2 linked regions of the Solanum lycopersicum genome follow. Each later gene encodes a partner of the first gene's protein in a complex. Links are inferred from orthologs where the notes say so. Each region holds a gene or a part of one and is shown in the gene's direction. Other genes may lie near its edges.

What was found. The genes of interacting proteins can lie anywhere in the genome.
Region 2: the proteins of hop-interacting protein THI044 (region 1) and plastid division protein PDV2 are in contact, whole or in part, in a crystal structure (PDB 5GTB), measured with the Arabidopsis thaliana proteins. The link is inferred for Solanum lycopersicum from reciprocal best matches to the Arabidopsis thaliana genes ARC6 and PDV2. Residues at the interface, in NP_199063.1 of Arabidopsis thaliana: Trp686, Gln687, Lys690, Phe694, Arg710, Met711, Ile714, Trp715, Arg718, Glu721, Thr722, Leu725, Leu727, Tyr729, Tyr731, Glu753, Leu756, Glu758, Ala760, Leu762, Asp764, Val766, His767, Asn770, Ala772, Thr773, Asp774, Arg776, Tyr778, Thr780; in NP_028242.1 of Arabidopsis thaliana: Glu287, Arg288, Val289, Glu290, Ile291, Pro292, Phe293, Asp294, Ala298, Lys299, Arg300, Asp301, Val302, Thr303, Tyr304, Gly305, Tyr306, Gly307.

The regions. Positions count from the first base shown.
Region 1 is NC_090803.1:66,997,705-67,006,004, reverse strand, and holds hop-interacting protein THI044, read left to right. Parts: upstream 1-3,217; 5' UTR 3,218-3,247; coding exon 3,248-3,817; intron 3,818-4,631; coding exon 4,632-4,856; intron 4,857-5,286; coding exon 5,287-5,547; intron 5,548-5,635; coding exon 5,636-6,605; intron 6,606-6,891; coding exon 6,892-7,052; intron 7,053-7,446; coding exon 7,447-7,740; 3' UTR 7,741-7,938; downstream 7,939-8,300. UniProt on the Arabidopsis thaliana protein: Component of the plastid division machinery consisting in a binary fission accomplished by the simultaneous constriction of the FtsZ ring on the stromal side of the inner envelope membrane, and the ARC5 ring on the cytosolic side of the outer envelope membrane.
Region 2 is NC_090800.1:92,337,094-92,345,285, reverse strand, and holds plastid division protein PDV2, read left to right. Parts: upstream 1-3,014; 5' UTR 3,015-3,239; coding exon 3,240-3,461; intron 3,462-6,786; coding exon 6,787-7,401; 3' UTR 7,402-7,533; downstream 7,534-8,192. Other genes in the region: uncharacterized protein, read left to right, coding at 1-36, 248-347, 430-489, 572-658, 765-893, 987-1,289. UniProt on the Arabidopsis thaliana protein: Component of the plastid division machinery consisting in a binary fission accomplished by the simultaneous constriction of the FtsZ ring on the stromal side of the inner envelope membrane, and the ARC5/DRP5B ring on the cytosolic side of the outer envelope membrane.

The DNA.
Region 1 (8,300 bases):
TTATTCGTAACAGTAAAAAATATGATGGAAGTGATTTATTCATACTACAAAAAATTTAATCTAATGTAAGTGGAGATAATCCACTCCAATGAAAAAATAATTTAACTTTATGAATCGAATTTGTCTTTATTTTTATCATATTCTTATCGACATAATATATTTACGCCTTTTACAATAATAAATTTTTATAATAATATATTCAGTATGATCCGATAAAATATAGTCTAAGCTAGATAAAGTATATACAAATTTTATTTCTACCTCAAAATAGAGAGATTACTTCGATAAAAACAAAACGTGATATTTTATGGTTGGTTATATTAAATCTTATGGGCCATTTTTAACATTTTTTTTACTTTTTAAATTATGAAAAAGTGGTCTTTAAAAGGGGCTGAAAATAAGGGTTTACTACCTTTCTGCGGCTTTTGACAAATTCTATGATTAATTGACATTAATATAAATGGGGGTAAAAGTGCATTTGGCAATGATTAAATGCGACTTGATTCTTTGTGTTTTATAGTTGAGAGGGTCACGTATGTATCAAATATGTATAATATAATGTACATAACATTAAAAGCCGATGTTCACTCCTTTAGCCTGATATCTTCATTATATATGTTCTTTAAAGTTTAGATTGATTAATAAATAAAGCCATTTTTCTTTTCATTTTTTGCAATCAATGTCATCAATTGGGGGGCCACTTAATTTCGTGTCCAATTGCACTTTTTAAATTTATCTTTCCTAATCGATATTCAATATCTAATATCTAAGTTACTGTCTCGTTTAATATCGACTCATGTCGTATTGAATTATTAGGACAAACACCAGCACTATACGATAAAAAAAAATATCACGAGAGAGTCAAATAGGACGTCGTCAATGTGTGTTTGGACTTCATTTATATGAAACTTCAAACAGAATAAGAGAAATAATAGCTTTCAACCGTAAAAAAATTCACGGGAAAGTCTATTTTGATAATGTCATATGTTTTTAAACTTCAGTCAAATAAAACTATAAAAATTGTATTTGAAGTTTAAGATTTTTGTCAAACTGACTATATTTGAAATTGTTTCGAAGCGTGTATACATTTTTAAAAAATGAGCAAATGTCAAACAACAACGTCAAAATCAAGTATCCGTGCAGTTTGCTCCTCACTACTAGATTTTTTTAAAAATACCAGCCTGAAAAGTTTGAATTCAAGACTTTTTGTTAAGAACCGGAGAAATTCTATTCATTTCATCACGATAGTCGAAGGTAGTGTGTCCACTTGTTCCATTGCCATTGCCTCTTTCAACTCCATATATCACTTTTAAGATGTGAGGAAGTTGAATGCAATGAACAATATTCTTTGGACCACTATTCACTATCACCCACTACTCAAACTCTTATGGTTGAAATATGGTATATGTTGAGTTGGTTTTAGGTAGATAGGGGGGTGAATTAAGTAGTATACATAGATGTAGTTGCTACTACAAAAGATATACAATGATATTATATATGTCACTCCAAAAATAGTTAACCATTTCTAACAAACTAAACATCCTAATAATAGTAACATTTCTCGTTATCTCTAGTCTATATGGGGTCTCTTGGTTTGCCACACTACCAAAAATAATCCCTTATCACAAAAGATAGGTATAAAATATACGCTCGTATCATTTATATATGAAGGTCGCATGCTATCTCATAAAAAATGAGACGTGAAATTATAATTCACGTATTACTAATACACGAAGAAAGAAGACTAACTAAATCTGTAATACTCCTTGAATCAATAACTTATTTGTAGAATGTTAACTTTTGAATTCTCTTATTAAAATTTCTGATTTCGCTATTAATACTAATTAAAGTAATAATCTATTACTCCTCACGTAACCAAATGATTATATTTAGATGGTATTACTTATATAATTAGGTGGAATGGTGAAATAATAGTCTCTATTTTAATGATGTATTCAAGAAAAAAAAAATAAAGAAAGATAAGACACATTGTAAATAAGATTAGAGACCATGATTAAGATGTTGTTAATTATAAAAGTTGCATGCTTTGAGTCAATCAAATGACTATAAATGTCAACTATGACAAAAATAAATACTTAGTGGTGTTAATGGGACCACCCACTAATTATTAGGACGGATTAGCAATGAATTTGTTGCAATATTCGAACTTATTCGGATTCGATATATGGTTTAATTTGGTTCGATATAATATGATAATAATAAAAAGTACGGAGAGATTTTGATTCCGATCCCTTAATGTAATGAATTTAAGGTTGTCGTTTTTATTGTTGTACTTGCAGAATGTGAGATTGAAGTTGTCTTCATGTTTTGTCAATGGCGATATGTTCCATGTCAATCTGGTTTTTTGTGTTTGTCAAATACTTTAGAAGTGGTCAGCTTAAACATTGCAAGTAACTTCTAAAGCTCTACTTCTTTGTTTTTTTTCTTTACAAATACAACAATTTTACGATCATCAAAACACTATCATCGTGTTTTATTTTCATATAATATAGTTGTTATATGCGTCACAAATATTTTTCACCACGAAACTGATTTTTCATAAAATATTTTCCTTTACATTTGAACCACGATTCCGTCCAATTTCACTCGTAAAAAACCCCTTTAATTTAGAGGTTCATATAAAATATGTCTTTTGCAGTTTTATCCTTATTTTGTGTTGGTCTTTAATTCTTAGCCCTCAAAATAAATACTCAATCCGTCCCATTTTATGTGACACTTTTCGTTTTTCGAGAATTAAATAGTTTAACTTTGATCGGACATTTGCGTATGAAATTTTCAAATTTTTTAAAAATAAAATTTATATATTTATTAAACTACGTAAAGAGTACTATAAGTCATAATAATTGATAATTCAAAATGTTAAAAAGGTCTATGAAAAACTTATGGTCAACGATAGACTTGTTTGAATCTCGAAATGCGAAAGTGGCACATAAAATGAAACGGAGAAAGTAACTTTTTTACGGAATCTACATTTATATTTTTACATCATAATATCCGATGACTACGATAAGTTCATTCAAATAGCAAACCGTGCAATTGGATCCATCTAATCATTCAAATGAAACGGGCCTATCCACTTATCCATCCATAAGATTCAGTTTCGAAGCCCAACAAGAAATTTTAGCCCATATGAAAGAGTCGGCCCAATTGCTTTACGAGTGAACAAAAAATATCTGAAAGAGTTAAAAACAATGAATTATGAGCACATTTTGAAGCTTCCTTAACAATGGAGGCATTAACACACCTAAGCTTTGGCATTTGTACTGCACGCCTTTCACCACCATTTCAACTAGCAGGCGGCGCCGGTAAGAAGCCGCCGAGACTCAATGCTGTTACCGGAGGAGCCAGTAGTGTTACCGGTGGAACAAGTAGTGTACCGACGAACTTCTCCGCCAGTAAATGGGCGGATCGTCTTCTCGCCGATTTCCAATTCCTTCCTTCCCCCACCACCACCTCCGACTCATCGGATTTCCAGAATTCAACTTCTACAACCTCTGTTACGACTATTCCTCCTCCCGTTGCTCCTTCAGACCGCCACATTTTAATGCCTATAGACTTTTATAGAGTGCTTGGTGCTGAAGCTCACTTCCTCGGTGATGGTATCAGGAGATGCTACGATGCTAGAATTACTAAGCCGCCGCAGTACGGGTACAGTCAAGAGGCATTGATTGGCCGACGACAGATTCTTCAAGCTGCTTGTGAAACCCTTGCTGACTCTACCTCTCGTAGAGAATACAATCAAGGCCTCGCTCAGCATGAGTTCGATACTATTCTAACTCCGGTCCCCTGGGATAAAGTACTATTTCAATTACTCCACTTTTTTATTTACTGCCCACATTCTTAATTGAATAATTTTTTAGCTAATTGAAAAGTGCTATAGGGAGTTTGAAACTTGGAATTAAGTTTATCTGTATTAACTTATGCTCCCCAAGTAAGTCAGGTTGATCTTAGATGCCTTTTTTCAATTATATACTATCTGTATAATTTAGCTAATAATTGTAGCATGTTGCTTATCATATTTTACAAATTACCAATTGCAAGTAGCAGTGAATAAAATTGTAGAAGTTTGTAGTTTTAAGTGCATCTAGGCTTAGTTCAAGTCGCCAAGGTTGAAGGACTTGTAATTTGGGTCATAGGTTCTGGCTATGCAAACTAAGCCTAGTATTTAAGCGGAGAAGGATAGAAGGACGGGCCCTTTTTCCTGAGTTTTGAAGGCTGCGGTTGTTCCTAAGGATTGGGCCAAAACTATTCCGCGGTTATAAGATAAGATTTTATATAGTGAGAACAACATGATCAATGTAGTTCAATGAGTTGTTGCTTGTTGCTTACCTTATTTTCTAGATTACCAGACCACGCTTACTATTGATAAAGGTAATTGTTTAAGTTATGCAAATTAAAGAAAAGGTTTTGTACATGACCAGTGTAATTTAACCCGTTGTAGCATGTCACCTACCTATTTTCCAGATTACCAGTCTACACTTACTTAGTTCTCAATACATAACTAACTGATAGTGTAGTAAAATTTGTACCCGGGTTGGTTATAAAACTTAAATATTCTAAAAGTTGTTGTGGGATGCAAAGAATTTAAAAGAATGTCATGGCTTTTACAGGTTCCGGGAGCATTGTGTGTTTTGCAAGAAGCTGGTGAGACTGGAGTAGTTCTTCAGATTGGGGAAAGCTTGCTGAAAGAGCGGTTGCCAAAGTCATTCAAGCAAGATGTGGTCTTAGCTATGGCACTCGCATATGTTGACCATTCGCGAGATGCGATGGCACTTTCGCCTCCTGATTTTGTTCAAGGTTGTGAACTGCTTGAAAGAGCACTTAAGCTGTTGCAGGTATAGTTACTTCTGATGATATGAGTATGTTAGAGTGAATGTGATGGTATATTTGAAATTCTATAAAGGGAACACACATGGAAATAACTGTTTTCTATAGTTTATGCACTATGACACAGCTTTTTGCCAGCTGCAAATGTCTGTTGACAAATGACTTTAATAATGGAAGAGGGTTTGTATCATTGTACTGATTGCTAACTTCATTTTGATTTACCTATAAATGAGTATAGTGCTCTTCTTGGTCATCCATGATTCACTTAAGACGTCTCTGTTTGTTTGTTTTTGGTAATGTATGTGTGTGGGGTATATGTGACTGCACTTTTTCTTTACCTCTCGCCTGCTTTAATGCTGATGCATGCCTTTTTTGGGTCGAATTGTAAGCTTACAGTGAAGAGCAAATAATGAGGAACTTTCTTCCTTCCTTTTCCAGGAAGAAGGTGCAAGTAATCTTGCCCTTGATCTGCAATCCCAGATAGATGAGACATTAGAAGAGATAAATCCACGCTACGTACTTGAACTTCTAGCTTTTCCTCTTGGTGATGAATACCGAATGAAAAGAGTAGAGGCTCTTCAAGGCGTGCGCAACATTTTGTGGGCTGTTGGAGGAGGAGGAGCAGCTGCAATTTCAGGGGGGTTCACACGAGAAGATTTCATGAATGAGGCCTTCCTACGGATGACAGCTGCTGAGCAGGTTGGCTTAACTTCATTCATTTATTTTGGTTTCTTTTGTAACTGTTCTTTTTACTCCTTCTCTTCATTTTCCTCTTCCTTTTTAAAAGGTGGACCTCTTCGTCGCAACGCCAAGTAACATTCCTGCAGAAAGCTTTGAAGTTTACGGGGTGGCGCTTGCACTTGTTGCTCAAGCTTTTGTTGGAAAAAAACCTCATCTCATTCAAGATGCTGATAACCTTTTTCAGCAGCTTCAGCAGACCAAAGTTACAGCTTACGGCAGTTCTGTGTCTGTATACACTGTTAGAGAAAACCGTGAAATAGACTTTGCTTTGGAGAGGGGCCTTTGTTCACTGCTTGTTGGAGAAGTCGATGGATGTCGCTCTTGGTTGGGCCTAGACAGTGAGGACTCCCCTTATAGAGATCCATCTATAGTGACTTTTGTTGCAGAACACTCAAAGGACGACAACGAAAATGATCTGCTCCCTGGACTATGTAAGCTTTTGGAGACCTGGTTGATGGAAGTGGTCTTTCCCAGATTTAGAGAGACAGAAGATGTCACTTTTAAGCTTGGTGACTATTATGATGACCCTACTGTTTTAAGATATTTGGAAAGGCTGGAAGGTGGTGGTGCTTCACCTTTAGCTGCTGCTGCAGCTATTGCAAGGATTGGAGCTGAAGCTACAGCTGTGCTTGATAGTGTTAAGGCTAGTGCAATTCAGGCACTACAGAAAGTTTTTCCTGCTGGTGACGGGGAAGGCAGTGTAAGACGATATGGTGACAATGAGATGAACGAATTTGATATTGCTAAGCCATTTGAGGATCTTGAAGAACTCCGTGATCAAAATAACTTTATTACGACTGTTGGGGATCCTGAGAGAAAGAGTTCTAACTATCAAGAGCAAGATGTGATAACTGACAGAATAAAAGATGCAAGTGTGAAGATTATGTGTGCTGGAGTAGCGGTTGGTTTCTTGACTTTGGTTGGATTGAAGCTTTCTTCCTTTAGACATGGGTCTTCAGTTCAACATAGTGCTAGTGCTACTGGTTCAGCCATTGCCTCGGATGTTATCAATGTGGGTATGACTCACTGACCATTTTAGTTTCTAAATAACTCTCGGGGTTGACCAAATATGACCTTATGGAGCCATTCTCTTTTGCTTTTCTCTGCTGCTTCATTCAACGACCTGGATTTGAGAGAAAAAATCTTATTGTTACAAGTGGTAGTTGTACATCTATCTAATAAAAATTATCTTCTTCTATTATTGTTATTATATTTTCTCAAGTCTGGGGTTCTTTTAAATTCTTGTCTGAGGGTTTCAGTTATGTTTTCTTTTTCCAACCTTCCCTTTCTTCTGAATATCAGAAATTTTATCTGCTACTGCAGATACCTCTGCCTCACCAGTTGAAAATCCTCTTGAGGTTCCTAGAATGGATGCAAGACTTGCAGAAAGTATAGTTCGGAAGTGGCAGAATATCAAATCCCAGTCTCTTGGAACCGATCACTGTCTCAACAGATTGTCAGAGGTATCAATATGTAATGCCTTTCTTTTTATATTGTTGATTATGTTTCACTATAGTATGACGTGAAATGCAATAGAACCTGAAAGCCTTGAGATAATTCTTAATGGATTTTACTTCCTGCCAAAGCAAGAGGTAGGATTGTGTGTTAGCTGCTCTATCTCAATTTCTATACAATGTTATGATAATATCTTTACAGCAAAATGTCATACACACCAACTTTTTGTTAGAGCCAAATGATTTCTTGTAGAATTCAGCTGCTCAACACGAGTTGCTTCGTGATGAACTACCCAGCATCTTTTTTGTTGTTTGCTGTTGTCCAAATGCAGCTTAATACACCTCCTTGCTATTTCTGGTGTCACCTTTGTATTTTGCCTGACGACATTGTTCAAAATGACAGGTTTTGGATGGTCAGATGCTGAAGATTTGGACAGACCGTGCAAGAGAAATTGCGCAGCATGGTTGGTTTTGGGAGTACAAGCTTTTAAACCTTGCCATTGATAGTGTAACTGTCTCAGCTGATGGCCGACGTGCTACTGTGGAAGCTACTCTAGAGGAATCAGCAAGTTTAACTGATGTAGCCCATCCAGAGCACAATGACTCATACAGTACTACCTATACAACAAGGTACGACATGTCCTGGGCAAACTCCGGTTGGAAAATTGTGGAAGGAGCCGTTCTTAAATCGCGATAATGGATGTATATGTTGACAAAGTTTCATGTAAAGTGCATCTTTTTGATTAGTTTGCTTTACTTTCAAAGTTAGGTAAATGGTTTGTTTCAGCTAATTGTAATGTACCTTGTTTGGATCAAAGAATTGAGTGTAGTCGAAAAAAATGATCAGGATTCATCTCGAGTTAAATGCTATAATGAAACAGAGGTTATCGTTGCCTAATTCGCGCTGAGTATGCAATATATAGGTTTTATATACTTATATTTTGGTCTTTTTTGTACATATATTGTGAACTAGTTGGCTTAATTGTATTGACAAGTATCCCAGGAAAAACCAAACAGATAAGGAGAAGGAAAAGAAGGTGATGTGGGTTTATATTCCAACCAGAACAAAAAAAACTGCAAAATATGATGCCTTTTGAAGACAATTATCCTATGCTGTCCCAATGATTTTGAGTCTTGTTTTACATACATATAAGCTGCAATATATCTTCCACTTATATCTACATACAGGGATGACTCTCTTAACTTGAGATCTCGAGGTTGAGGATTGAATATACATAATGTACATTAATAAAAGCT
Region 2 (8,192 bases), on another chromosome or scaffold:
CTTAGATGGTGTTGAACAAATGCTGAAACGATTTCGGTAAAGCCTTTTAACTCAACTTTTTGTACATTTACATTATACCTCTTACATAGAAGCCACCAAAATCTCAACACATTTACATGTTGATAGCTTCTAAAAATAGTTGTTCATTACAAGTACAAATTAACTTTTGCGTTCAACGTAACTTTTGATCTTTCAGTAAACTTGTAAAGTTATGCAAATCTGAATAGTCTTAAACTTGCCAATGCAGGTACCTAGTCTCAAAATTGGAAGAAGTTGCCCCTGAAGAAATGAGACATGAAGAGAAACTAGCCTTTTGGATTAATGTCCACAATGCATTAGTAATGCATGTAAGATTTCTGTACCTAAGAGTTATCCCAAGACCTTTTTTACTATGCGATAAATTATGAACCAGCATCGTGTATGTTACAGGCATTTTTGGTTCATGGGATTCCAAGAAGTAATCTCAAGAGAGCATCTTTACTTCTTAAGGTAAGAAAATTCTGCTAAAATGCAACAGTTTTTACTGTGTAATTGGTTCTTTATAACTCAGTAAGCTTTTTTCATTTTTCAGTCAGCTTACAATATTGGAGGGAATACAGTAAGTGTGGACATGATCCAGAATTCTATACTACAATGCCAGTTGCCTCGTCCCGGTCAGGTAAGTTACTATATTCAATTTCTGTTTCTGCAGTACTTTGAGAGAGCTCATGTTACTACATTTCCTCCTTGAAGTAATATGTATCGATTTTTCCTGTACAAAATAGTGGCTTCAGTCATTGTTCTTTACGAAACAAAGATTTAAGGGTGGCGATGCAAGAAGAGGATATGCAATGGAGCATCCAGATCCTCGCCTACGCTTTGCTCTTTGCTCAGGAAATCATTCTGATCCTGTGGTAATGCACTGACAAAAGCATTACTGTCATTTCGTTCAAACTATCTTTTTTTCCTGTTTTGCTTAGAACATATGATATCTTGTACATATGCAGCTTCGTTTGTACACATCGAAGAGAGTATTCGAAGAACTAGAAGTGGCTAAAGATGATTACATTCAGGCAAACATAAGGGTACACAAAGAACAAAAACTAGTCCTTCCAAAGAATGTGGAATCTTATGTTAAAGAAGTGAATGTGAGTCCATCTGGTTTGTTCGAAACTATAGAGCTGGCATTACCTTGTTATTTGAGGAAGAAATTTCAGCAGCCCGAGCAACGAAAGTTGTGGAAGAAAATTGATTGGATTCCTCACAACTTCAGTTTCAGATACCTTGTTTCAAGTGAATTGGTTGAGTGATCAAACTCAAGAGTTTTGAATGTCAGATGAATCACAATCAAAGGGGCTATTCAGATTGAGAAGTGTGAAATATTTGAACTTGTTGTTTAACAGAAGTGCTATAGTTGTGATTCAACTGTCATTCCTAATGACTAATGAGTCTCCCCTCATTTTCATAAGTGAGTTTGTAATAATTTGGATGGTCCAAAACCTCATTTATTCTCTTGTTTTTCTATTTTTCCTTCTTGTTGAGAGTTTTTCATTGGTTATTGTAGCTCTAAGCAGAAGAATTGTATGCAAAAGCCTAAAGGCAGTTGGGAACTATAAATAAGTGGTGTTGTATATTATAAAGGAGTGAATAGGTTAAATTTAATTAGTGAGTTTTATATTTAAATTATTAGGTGTTTTTATTATCTTTTAACTATTATTTCTTTTATATTTAAATTATTTGGTGTTTGTATTATCTTTTAACTATAATCCTTTCAGATTTAAGAAGTCTCAGTTAAATGTGAAAAAATATGAAGGATAACTTGCCGAGAGGTGAGTGAAGACAATTAAATCTGATCAGAGACTCCTTTCATATATTGGTTGAAATATATTAAAGACTATTTAACCAGATACGTGGCAAATGCAGAAAGAACTATAGTCAATTATTGAACCAGTCAATAGTTAGTCGAACCAAGGACTTGTTAGACCAATTGAGATCAGCTCCAGAACCTCCTCCTCACTCCTGGGATAAAGCCCACGATATCATATTAAACTAGGTCTTGAACCTGCTCGCACCCCAAAAATTAATTATTACATTACCTTCCATACATCCACATTTTCAAAAAATTAAATATAATTTAAATTAGTTGATTTTTTGTGTGACCTCATAAACATTTTGAGGCTAAACAAATAGTTAATGAAAAATAAAACTAATAAAGTTGAAGTAACAAGCTTCAAGTATTATCATTATTTTCATTAATTATAACCCCAAACAAATAGCAACAGTGATTTAGGACCACAAAAATAATTTTCGAAAATCAAAGGTTTGTTGGAGATATATTAGCTAGCGTTTGGTCATAGATTTCCAAATATTCTTGGCAAATATTATTTGAGTGAAAATTTGGGTGAAATTTCACCATGTGTTTGGCCATGAAATTTGGGAAATATATTTCACCTTTTTAGAAAAATATGATTTATACACACAAGTTTTAAAAACTATCAAAACTAACTAAAAGTTTGTATTACAAGTCAATTGAATGTTAGTTACAACAATAACAAATAATGTCTATGACACTGAAGCAATGTGGTAATTTGGAGTGAGTGCAACAAGAATTATTCCATACATCGTGAAGTAGATAAAGTACATGACTTTGTTACCTAAAGCCAATTTTTAATAATTTTCATCAACAATCATATCATTATTTAATATTCACTAAATATTTCATCACTATTTTGGTGTTCACGTAAAAAATGATGTAATACAACGCAAGCAAATACTAGAGAGAGTGTTTTTGTAAAAGATAAAAGATTGGGGTAAAATTTTAATTTTTAAAATATCCCAAATAATAATATTTGGCCCAAATACTAGAAAAAACTAGTATTTGGAAATTTGGGATATTTGCCAAAAATATTTACCAAATAATGACAAATTATATGGACAAACATTATTTACCAAATTTTTTCCAAATATTATTTGAAAAAATTATGTCCAAACGGGCCCTAAGTTTCGAGTAAAAGGACAAAACCAACAATTAGAAATTTGTTTTGTTAAAAGGGTTTATATAGGGAAAAAAAGAAAAAAAAGAAGAAGCTCTAATGTCATCTCTTTAGTTTCAAGAAAGCACCACAATCACTTGTATTTCGCTGCTTCTTTTTTCTTTTGTCACTTTCTTGCCACTTCTTTGTCCTCATTACAGAAACCCCATTTGCGCAAAATTCAAGATTTTCAATTTGCAGTATCCAGAAATCAAGAATCTTTAAGTTATGGATGAAGATAGAATAGGGTTAGTGCTGGCTAGAATCTCTGAACTGAGGGTAGAGATAACGAATTGTATTCACAAAGCATCTAAGAAAGATGAAGTGGAATCTGGAAATGGAGAAGACCCAGATGAGAAAACCCATGAGGGTGATGATGAAGCAGTGGATTGCTTGTTGAAGATTAAGGATGCTCTTGAATCACTTGAAGCCCAAGTGTCTTCTTTGCAGGTCTCTTCTTGATACTTGTTCTACTTCAATTTTGAAACTTGGAATTTTTCCCCTTTTTGGGTAAATGTGTGATTTTAGAAGATTTTATGTATTGCTGACTGACTCTAATTAGTTTGAGATTGAGGGGTTGTAGTTGTTTTCTATATGCTACAGAATTTTACAAAATTTTTACTTTTCTTGATTTGATAAGAAAGGCGGCGCCTAATCTAGGGTTTAACCTTAATGAGTAGTTGCTAGAAGCTTTGTTTGATTTTCTTAACTTACTTGCATCGACTTTTTTGATGGGGTTTCTGTAGTCTCTTTTTTTCAATATTGGCGGTAGGGAAGGGGAAATGGGAGGGGATTACAATGCGGGGAATCGAACCCTCACCAACAAGATGTAAGCCAACCAACTGAGCTCTGTAGTCTGGTATACCTATTGTGCTATGAACATATTTGCTTTAGGAATTTTTCCTCTGTGTGATGAGTGGTTATGTTGTTCTCTTGTTGATGCTTTTATTGCGCGTTAGGGAGAAATATGTTTAAAGTTTTTAGAGTTGAAGTTGGGATACAAATTTGATGGTTAACCTTCTGTTATTTTTTCTGGATGGAAACCTGCATTTGGATATCTGTATTGAATTTTCTTCGGTGAGATTAAGCAAATGTGTAATGGTGAATTAGATGGATTTAACGCAGTTTAGATTTGTTCACAAAGTGAATAAAAGTCTTCTTGACTGGAATGGATGAAAAGCTCTCTGTTTCGATAAACTATCATGTGCATTCTTCAGTTTCAATGAAATGTGTAGAATTTTCAGGATTTGACATTCAGTTATATATCTGATCTCTAAAGCTGTTGCACATTACCATATACATTCATGCTGATGACTGAGAAATCCTGGTTCAAAACTCCGTAAATGATGGGCCCGTGCCTCTACCCTTTCCCAATCAAGTATTAGAGTTCTTATTTCTGGCACAATAGCAGAATTTGAACCGTGATGTGCGCCTAAATCCAGCCCACATTATGACTGCACTCTTACCACTAGACCAAAGCCTTGGGGCTTAAATGTTGTTGCAACTTGCACGTTACTGTTATTTACTACTGTTAGGGTGTGTTCGTACATTTTGTGAACTTTGTTGTGTCCATAATGTATATACATCTACTCCATGTACCATGAAGTCATTTTAAATGTTGTCAAGTTAAGTGGAACCAGCCGTTTTCAAATTCTTGAGTGAGATAAGTGGGACTTAGGGGGTTTAAAGTTTACATGAGGTTTAGATGAGAGTAAAGATGTTTACGTTGTTACCTGAGCAGACTATTGACTACTGTATGCAACTTTGAGTTCAAGGACCGTGGTCAAATGTTAAATGGTAGTCTTTGAATCTACTTTTTTGTGAAATGAAGTGTCTGACTATGTCTGTATATTGCAAGACAAATCGGAGCTCAAATCCTGACCAACCTTAATTTGGATTAAATTCTTCTTCTTCTTTTTGTGGAAAATAATTTGGATAACGTTCTTAGCACCCTTAAAAGCAATCCAGTTGAGATTTGAGTGACAAATCTTTTGTCTTTGATTACTTCCGTATACAAGCGATGAAGGGCATACAGAGGAGAGGGTAAAGGGGTAGGAGAATGTAGCTTTGGATGGGAATAGAACCTTTGCCTATGTAGTGCAAGTGAACCTGGATATTATTACTTATATTGTGATTTTCTCATCTCTCTTTGAAGCTAAAGATTCTGAGGTGCTACTTTTTACTACTCACTAATCCCCTGAAATATAACTTACCTGAACGACCTTCCCCTAAAATTGTTGACTGCTTTAAATTGATTCCATCAATGATGTGAATGCTGATTCCTAGCGCTAGCAGTCTCTTTGTAGGTCACATAGATACCTGATTTTAGACGTCGTTTCATAAACGAGACCAATCATGCTATTCTAATAAGAGAAATGGAAATCTCAGTGTGAAACCCCATAATCCATTTGACACAGCTGAAAATTGATCGAGTGTTTTGAAAAGTTTTCCCCAACTACTTAACAAGAGTTCCAGCTGTGATATTTCTCATTACAAATGTTCTTTTCATGTTACTTTTAAATTGCTGAAAGATTATTATCCAAGGTTTAATTAAGTAGCTTCTGAGTGTAATGTGTCGGCAAAATATTGATCAATCAGACAGGAATTCCTATGTCACTTTGTCGTGGAGGCGTGTGTTTCAAGTGATGTTGTTCCTATCTAATGTGCAAGCTAAGATCTGTTGCTAAGTGTCTGTTGCAGATACTATGTATAGTCAACTGGAAAGTGACTGTATCATGTTGCAAGAAGGATTACATTTTGTTTCCGGAATAAGAATGCCACATCCTAAATGGGTCATCATTTGTCTTTCATCATAGAGTTTGATGTTTGTTTGAAAAATCTTCATGTTAATTTAAATGATTGTTATGCTTAAATTATCTCTTGGATGTGGCATATTGGGCTTGGGGCTGTAGAGCGTGCTTGGTTGTGATGTCCTGCAGAGGGAAAACTTTGCACCGTAATCTCTAAGTGCAGGGTTAAACTTTTGATTCAGTAATCACGTTAGTCAATCCTGCTCCAGTCATTGCAATGCCATTTATAAGCTTTAGAATTAATACTGAAACAAGATTAATCATTGTTCAACGGATGAACTTGTTTTGATATCTTCATTTCATGAAAAGTGACAAGGTGCCTCTGGTCTTTACAAGTAAAACGATGTGTCAACTTTATGGGATTTATTTTCCTGTTAAAGACATTCATTTGCATTTAGTAAATGACTAGTGTCACTCATTACTAGTCACAGTAAAACTGAAAGGCTGTTCTCCCTATTCTAAAGCAGCAGTATTTTCATGACAAACATCTACTAGCCTATCTTCATGAAAATTCTTTAAATGAAGTTGGTACTTACATGTAAAAAGATGGTCTTCCAATTTGTTTCAAACACACTGTAGTCCAATATTCTAAATCAGCAGTATTTTTTTGCTTGGTACTCTTCCAATAGTATCTATGAGTAAATTAGATTTCGTCTTGTCAAAAGTCAATTATCCCAATGCTGAAGTATATTCTTATTCCCTTAGGATTGAATTGCTTATGCCTCTTCCGGAAAACAGTATCTCTGGGCAACTTAGTGAAAATCCTTGTCCCAATTACCTGCCCTGAGATCATGGACCTCATTCTCTGAAGCTGTTGCTGTTATTATCTTGCTCTCTGTTTTTACATGAAATATACAACAAGGCTTTTATGACATTCCTTTTGTTTTCAGATTTATGCATTTCAATTATGTTGTCCCCCTCTATTGAAGCTTATACCTCATTGCCATTTATTTCTAATGTTTCAGGCACTACAAGAACAACAATGGTATGAAAAAGAAGCAGCGCTGGCTGAGATAGGTTATAGTCAAGAAAAATTGCTCCAGACACTGAAAGGGTATGAAGGCAAAGATTACCAAGTCATACACGAGGCAATTGCTTTTGTTTCTGAAACAGTTGAAGACAACAATGATCTTCTACTTCCTCCTTACCCTAGCAGACCTTCTCGTACCCTGGTGTCAGACAAGGGTTATGGGGTACACTTGCCATCTGCACGGAAACTCACTCAAAATGGAGTAACTGGTAGCCACAACCACAATTCCAGGAAAGATGTCGATGACGCTAACCATGAAAGATCTGAGCCTAAAAGCCCATTAAGAATGGTTAAATTCTTCCTCAGTGCAGCAGCTAAGACAGCACTCACAGTTGTTGGTGTAATATCTGTCTTGACTTTGGCTGGGTTCGAGCCTCAGATAAAGAAACGGGATAATCAGATCAATGTTTCGAACTTGTTTCAACAGGTGGCAAACAGCAAAGTCCCCGTGGTTGAAAATGGTGAAACTCAGTGCGTCGTGAAAGAGAGAGTTGAGATTCCATTTGAATCGGTTGTGGCTACTCCAGATGTAAATTATGGCTGTGGATGAAAGGTTGTTCCTTTTTCTGTCTTCTTTTTGTGTAAATCCCACTTTAAGTTTTTGACTCTATTAACTCTGTGTGGCCTGACAATGTAATTTGTCTTAGCTAGAGAAAAGTTCAGTCAGAAAATAAATTTCCCATCTCTCTCATTGTGCCCTGTATACCTGATTTGATATCCTTTACTTGAGTCGAGGGTCTATTGAAACTACATGGATATACTCTGTCCTCTTTGGACTCCACTTGTGCGATTATGATTTTCTTTTTCAATTGTCAAATGAGTTTGTTATGTGTTTTTTCTTTATTTTAAAATGGATCCTACTCGCGAGCTATGTTATCCTACAATATTTAAGAAAATTGGTGACCTGGGAAAATACATGGTAGTGAGTTGTGAGTTAAGGTTTTTGTCTTTTCGTATGATGCGTGTGTCCCTTGATAGATCTGCTGTAGATTTGCCAACTTAGTTCACTACTATAATGTCTGCACGAATGGATTGAATAAACAAGTTGGTGTTTTATTAAATGAAGGGACAGGATTGTTGCACATTCATGTTTTGGCTCACCTGAAATTTGAAGACTTTTTTTCAATTATATCACAGCAACTTCCTACAGACAAAAGCACATGATATCCAATTATTGAGTTGAAATTACAAGATTTACTGTTATTTTTCCTGTTTTTCTACAGAACCAAGAAAGATCATTTTGTTGGCTGTTGCACTTTCTTGTGCCCTTCTTGTTTTGCAATTGCCAATTTATACTGTAGTTTATGCACATGGATATATACAAGGGACTTTTAAGTGTAG